Xenopus tropicalis: one gene and its partner. The protein of the gene in region 2 purifies or fractionates together with the protein of the main gene of each other region. This does not show direct contact. Links are inferred from orthologs where the notes say so. Each region holds a gene or a part of one and is shown on either strand. Other genes may lie near its edges.

The links. The genes of interacting proteins can lie anywhere in the genome.
Region 1: the proteins of dhx38 (region 2) and ppp4r3a purify together in Homo sapiens (co-immunoprecipitation; 3 studies listed by BioGRID and IntAct, with this or other methods). This does not show direct contact. The link is inferred for Xenopus tropicalis from reciprocal best matches to the Homo sapiens genes DHX38 and PPP4R3A.

What each region holds. Positions count from the first base shown.
Region 1 is NC_030684.2:87,125,522-87,129,178, forward strand, and holds part of ppp4r3a (serine/threonine-protein phosphatase 4 regulatory subunit 3A), read right to left. Parts: intron 763-3,657; coding exon 707-762; intron 416-706; coding exon 317-415; intron 1-316. UniProt on the Homo sapiens protein: Regulatory subunit of serine/threonine-protein phosphatase 4. May regulate the activity of PPP4C at centrosomal microtubule organizing centers.
Region 2 is NC_030680.2:60,112,604-60,116,360, forward strand, and holds the end of dhx38 (pre-mRNA-splicing factor ATP-dependent RNA helicase PRP16), read left to right. Parts: coding exon 1-111; intron 112-1,008; coding exon 1,009-1,104; intron 1,105-1,192; coding exon 1,193-1,314; intron 1,315-2,776; coding exon 2,777-2,861; 3' UTR 2,862-3,734; downstream 3,735-3,757. UniProt on the Homo sapiens protein: Probable ATP-binding RNA helicase. Involved in pre-mRNA splicing as component of the spliceosome.

The DNA of each region.
Region 1 (3,657 bases), on a different chromosome or scaffold from region 2:
GTTTTATATTAAACATAAATGGCATCTTACTGATCTATAGATCAAAGAGCTAAATATGTTGTGTACATGGTTCTCCTTTGAAAATGTCGCACTCACAGTTCAGAGTTTACAGGCACACAGAACTGTGTACAAGGTATATTCAGCTTAATGTTGACCTTAAAATTAAGATTTATTATGCTGTAAATATTGTTAGCTTGAGACAGTCTGTCACCGGTTCAGTCAAGAACAAGGCATGGTCTGACATGAAGGCAATAAATGAACCCTTACCAGGCACGGCAAATATTTTATACAGAGGTATAACAAAAAGAAAACTCACCTGGCATATTTTCTCCCAAATTTCATCACACCCAGCCTTTTCCTGAAAACTAAGAGCCAGGTCATAATTTTCTGCTTCTGACCATACTATTAAAGTGTCCTGAAAGTAAACAGATAATTCTAGTTAACGTGGAAAATAACAGCACTCGTAGGATTTTATCATTTTTAAGGGGTATTTACCAAATTACAGAAAAAGTCAAGAGTAATAAATATATAAAAAAAAAAAGAAAACTTAATATTTATGGACAATATTCTATATTGCTCATTTCAAATAAATGTTAGAACACTACAATTTTTATTAATTATTTCAAAAAAGTATAGCACAGGTATTAAACAGAGACCTATACATTACATAACTTCTTAGGAAATACTTTGTTACAGAAAGACTTACCTGCTGTTTCTGGTAAGCTGTGTTAGTATTAATTTTTGATTCCAAAAGAAGTGAGCCTGGTAAAAAAAGAAAGACATGAGTTATACTAGACCGACTAATATAACTGGTATTCTCAGAATTCAGAATGAGCTTTTAATTATAATTTGTTTTATGCATGATAAATACTAAATCTTACAGTACACAGCTTAAACATATACTGTAGTACAGGTATGGGATCCATTGTCCGGAAACCTGTTTTCCAGATAGTTCCAAATTACGGGAAGACCATCTCCCATAGACTCCTAAGCAAATAATTCAATTATCAGTTGATCCCAATAATGCAATTATCACCTCAAAATGAGGGCTTAAAGTTTTTAGTAGATAATAGTCTGCATCAAATGCAGTGCAATTACTGACTTTTCAAACAGACAATTCAGCAAAAATAAAAATAGCAGATTTGTTTAAAGGAACAGTAACACCAAAAAATTAAAGAGCTTTAAAGTAATAAAAATATAATGCACTGTTGCCCTGCACTGGTAAAACTGGTGTGTTTGCTACAGTAACACTACTATAATTTATATAATAAGCTGCTGTGTAGCCATGGGGGCAGCCATTCAAGCTGGAAAAAAGGAGAAAAGGCACAAGTTACATAGCAGATAACAGATAAGTTCTGTAGAATACAATAGTGTTTTATCTGTTATCTGCAATGTGCCTGTGCCTTTTCTCCTTTGAATGGCTGCCCCCATGGCTACATAGCAGCTTATTTATATAAATTATAGTAGACTTTCTGAAGTAAACACACAACTTTTACCAGTGCAGGGCAGCAGCACATTATATTTTAGTTACTTTTATACACTTTCATTTTTTGGTGTTACTGTTCCTTTAAGGCCAATGAAGCCCTGATTTACTGGGGGTGCAAAAATGTCAGACTAAATTTTGTTTCCCCAGGCTGGTGCTCCTATTAATAAAAATGCATTTGTTCTTGCCTTACCTTCCTTTCTTATTAAAGAAGCACCCAGAAAATAAATAATATTCTGGTTGCTGTAACTAAGCCAATTTATTATATATGCTAATATCACACGGTTTCTGAGTTCTGTATCTTTCTGTATTGTTAAAACTCAAAATATACAAATGTAAAATATTTTTTCCAATGCTGCAATCCTCTTTTTAGTACAGGTATGGGACACCTGTTATCCATGCTTGGGACCTGGGGTTTTCTGGATAAGGGATCTTTCCGTAATTTGGATCTCCATACCTTAAGTCTACTAAAAAATACTAAAAAATAATTTAAATAGAGAATAAACCCAATAGGATTGTTTTGCCCCCAAAAAAGATTTATTACATCTTAGTTGGGATCAAGTACAAGGTACTGTTTTATTATTACAGAGAAAAAAGAAATCATTTTCAAAAATGTGAATTATTTGCTTATAATGGAGTCTATGGGAGTTGGCCTCTCTGTAATTCGGAACTTTCTGGATAATGGGTTTCCAGATAAGGGATCCCATACCTGTATTGACATAATCTTTATTCTATATTTGCCTTAATAAGCAACAATAAAAATATGCACAAACAAACAACAAAAATGCATTTGTGAGTCTAAAGCTGCCCATACATGCTCAGATTTTAGTCTTCATTAATGAACGTCAGGATATCGATCATATGTAAAAATGCAACAATCTAAATATAACAAAGCGGAGGATGTTCTGAACATAAAATAATAGGCAGACAGCAATCATCTGATGCATTTTAGGTTCCCCAAGGATATCATCAGATACACAATACATGCACAGATTTTATCTTTATCCTGCCAAAATTTTCTAACCTGTTCAATCGATAAAACTACCGAACACCATGGTATTAAAATTATGAAGACAATAATTCAGAGCCCACACATGGTCTAAAAATTGTACAAAACTATATTTGTGTGTGTATGGCCAGCTTAAGACCTTGCTAGAAAAGCCTGGGAAAGTAGAACTGTGGCACAGTATGTCCCTCTATTTTCCCCACAATCAGATTGATTGGGGGTGCCCAACATATATTGTATAAACACAACCCTCAATATTCTGTCAAAAGCCAACAGTTAGTGCTACTGATATTTGTAGGTCATGGGGTAAGACATGTCTGCAATTTGTAACAGACAAGGCAGTATAAAGTCTATTGCCAGATTGAGGGGTAGCTCACAGAACAATTTACTTGGTGTTATGTATACATCTGCATTCTAAGACAATTCCCAATAGTTTTTCTTTTTTGTTTTTTTAAATTAACTTCTGCAACTCTCAGAATTTGAATGCCGAACATTCTGGCACCCCCCAGTGACTTAGCTTTTCTTTCTCCTTTAAATAACAGGTACACAAATGGAACAGGTTAAATACCATTACAGGTATGGGATCTATTATCCAGAATGCGTGGGACCTGGGGCTCCCCAGATAAGGGTTTTTTTTTCCATAATTTGAATCTCAATACCTTAAGTCTATTAAAAAAATAATTTAAACATTAAATAAACCCAGTAGTATTGTTTTGCCTCCAATAGGGATTCATTATATCTTAGCTGCCATCAAGTACAAGGTACTGTTTAAATATTACAGAGAAAAAGGAAATCATTTTTAAAAATTTGATTAAAATGGGGTCTCTGCCTTTCCATAATTTGGAGCTTTATGGATAAAGGGTTTTATCCCATACCTGTATGAAGAAACACAAACATGTTTAAGGCTACATTAGAAGCATGTACAACCTCTTGTATTTAGACACAATAAACAACATGCCATACAGCGAAACCTCAATTTTACATACCCTGATTTACGTTTTCCCTAATTTTACAGAATTTTTGTGGCACCATCTATATTTAATGCATTTCCCTGATTTTTTTTAGCTAACATTCCTTTTTTATTCTTCCTGGTTGAACCCTTGAGCGTTTTATCTGCATTTTAGTACACCTGCTTCCATTACGTATTCTTAAAGGAACAGTAACACCA
Region 2 (3,757 bases):
GTGAATGTACGAACTGGGATGCCATGCCATCTGCACCCAACTAGCTCACTGTTTGGGATGGGATATACCCCAGATTACATTGTTTACCACGAGCTGGTGATGACCACTAAGGTAAGAAATGGCGAGAAATACATTTTGCTATTGTTTCAGAAGAATATGTGTTCTTCTCTTTACTAGCCACTAGAGAGCAGCATCCAGAATCAAAGGGCAATATGGCTGCTCAGGAATTCAATTCAAAAGAAATGCAGCAAACATAAAGGATTTGCTAACAGACTTATAAGTGATAATGTTTCTGTAAAAGACCTTTTAGACTAAAGGGCTCATAAAGATTACTATGTGTTGTCATTATCAAGCTGGCCATTTAAATAATGTAATGTTGGACACTTTCTCATGCAATCCATGTCCAAGGTTATATAGATAACCCTACATTTTTTCATTATTCTTTTACGCCTGAGTTTTTTGAGTGTTTGGTGTATATGCAAGACACAGTCCACTGTGCTACTTTAGGCTAATGCCACATGGGACTGATTCTCGGTTCAGCCCCTTACACTGGCATTGGTCTTCTTCCTTGCCTGCACCCAGGTGCCGGCACACCCTGCACATTTCAGCAGAGAAATACAATGAAAATCTTCATAGACAATACATAATAACGTTTTTCTGCGGTGAAATCTGGTGTGTTTGCCAGCAACTGGCCTGACAGGCTGAACATAGACCTAGAATCAGCTGGGCGGGGTGGCGGGGTTTGGTTGTGCAATTAATGCGATCTTCAAAAACCGTATATACACGAGTATAAGCCGAGGGCAACTTTTTCAGCACATTTTTGGTGCTGAAAAACTCTGCTTATACTCGAGTATATACGGTATGTATTAATATGCTTATTAGTAATACTCCAACTAACATTAGTATTTTATAGCAAATCACATTCTTCCAGCAGACATTGCTTTCAAGCACCAAAAAACTGACCATGCAGAAATGTCCTAATATTTTCTTTCCTGGTGACCCTTCTAGGAATACATGCAATGTGTCACAGCTGTGGATGGGGAATGGCTGGCAGAGCTGGGTCCAATGTTTTATAGTATTAAGCATGCAGGGAAAACAAGACAGGTAAGTGTTACTGTGATTTTAGATTTGTTTTTTTTAATATATATATAAACTGAAGTTTGATTCACAATTTATAAAAAAAAACTTTTAGGAAAACAGGCGCCGTGCAAAGGAGGAAGTATCTGCCATGGAGGAAGAAATGATGTTGGCAGAGGAGCAGCTTCGTGCCAGGAGAGAGGAGCAGGAGAAAAAGAACATTCTTAGCAGTGCAAGGTGAGCTGTGAGGGAGGATTTCCACTCCTACTTTCCGCATGACCAATACGTGATGGATAGTAAATTTTATGCATTGGGCCCCCAAATTGGTACTTCATTGGGTCAAACCCTGGTATGAGAATGATACAATTTATAGGTCAACACAGAATTCTTGCCCTTGTGCATGATAATCTAATTTAAAAAGGCTGTTCACCTTCAATGTTCAAATCTTATTAAATCACCAACAATGCCCTCAAAGTGTCAGAAAATCAATTTTCCATAAAAAAAATCAAAAGGACACTGTAAAAGCTATTTTTTCTACCAGTTAAATCAGTCCTTCTGTCTCTCTGATCAGTTTTCTGAAGGGATGGGAGTGGCCAATTTTGAACCTGACACACTGAGAACTTCCTATATGCTTACATCATCACATCCAGGTTTTCCTATTGGACCATTTATTTGGTGGCTTGTGCACTCCTAACCAGTTGGTTAATTTCTCCCTTGCAGTGGCATAGGCAAATAGACTCAGCACAGTTCTGTTAGATTTGCAGCACTCTGTCACAAGCACAGGAAGCAGTGTCAGATTGACAGGAGACACAGCCAATAGGAGTTAAGTCTGCTGCCAGTATCGTGTGACATCATATAAGGAAGTAAAAAAAAGCAACTGTAGTGTTTATGGGAGTCACTGCCCCCACCCAGCGGAGGGATGATTCTGAGGTGAATAGCTCTTCAGCTGCACATTTTTGTTAACTATGGATAGGGCATAGATTGTTCTATTAATGTGAACTGTTAGATTTGTGAGTGTTGTACAAAGGTGAGTCATTTATATGAGGATAAAATACCGTGTTTTCCCGAAAATAAGACACTGTCTTATATTTTTTTAAGCTCCAAAATATGCACTAGGTCTTATTTTCAGGGGATGTCTTATTTTTTGATCCTCATGTGCCTTTTTTTTTATTGCCCCCTTTGATCCTCATGTGCCTTTTTTTTATTGCCCCCTCTGTTATTTCTGTGTCCTCTGATCCTCCTGTGTAACATTCTCGTTCTTACCGGTACCTTGGTCTCTCTCGCGCCGTCACCATGGAAGCCGTCTAAGCGATGCGACTTCCTGTTTCCCCTGTGCGCTGCCTGCGTGGTCTCTCTCGCGCCGTCACCACTCAATGTGTTATAACGGCGCCAGAGAGACCACGCAGGCAGCGCACAGGGGAAACAGGAAGTCGCATCGCTAGACGGCTTCCAGGTGGGTGTCTTATTTTCGGGGGGTGACTTACTTTCCGGGGGGGGATGAAAAGGGGGGGGGGGGTGCCTTACTTTTGGAGGATGCCTTATTTTCGGGAAAACACGGTAGCTCTATATCTGAGTAAGTGGGCCATGAGCTGATTGCACAGATACTACGATGAAAAGTATCCAGTGTAGGCAGCTTAACTGGTTCCATGGTTAGGCAGCAGCGACTACTTATTGATTTTTTAATGCTATGTTTCACCAGGTCTTTGAAAATTTACACGCCAGGAAGGAAAGATCAAGTAGAACCTGGGACACCCCGCCGCACACCTGCACGGTTTGGCCTTTGAAACCTCATGTCATTTTTCCTCCTGGCATGGATATGATAAATCTGCATGGGACGAGATGTCATTTGTTCTTCGAGTGTAATGGACAATGCGGGTGGGAGAGGGGTTTAAGTATTTTCCTTATTGTAAAGTGGAACAATGTTATTTTTTAACAATAATGTCTTGAATTTTTGGCTCTGCGTGCTTTCCTTTTAAAATTCTACAAATACACAGGCTCAATGAACGTATGGAAGGTGGAATTAGCCAACTGTGCTCCTCTGCCCTCCTTTTTGCCCATAATATTTAGTGCAAACCTTGATCTTATAGACAGTTTGATAAGTACAGACTAGTGTTAACATGATAATTAACTCCTAACGAGTGTCGTAATGTCAGAGGCAGTCCCACAACAAGTGGATCAGTTGGCTTATCGGCAGCTCCCTCTGCTTGAAGCCAATTTAAGTGCTGTATATTGACTAAAACGCAACTGTTAAATGCTGATTATTGATTTTCCTACAATGCTGACGGGATGAAGTGCAGCTCGGGGATTCTGGCTCAGGCTTGGCTGCTTGCAGAGGGGAGTTTTGTCATCTCTTGCTATACAGTCCGACAGCTTGGTGATGGTTTGCTCTGGCTTGGCTATTCCAGCCCCTGTGCACTGCATTTCTCATACAGGCCTTCCCTAACATGCAGAGTCCCATTCATCTGATGTCTCCATTACATAAAGAATGAGAGAAACGATCAGTCTGATTAATTTATTATAAAATTATAAATATTTAAAAAAAAACAATTTAATGTTGATGCAGCAAGCAGAAATCTGGGACATATTAAAATGTGCAAACCTCCTGTATTGCTTCTCCAAAAGAGTGTTAAGACCATCCATTTCAAAAAAAAAAAAAAGTGATTCAAATAACTTATAATAG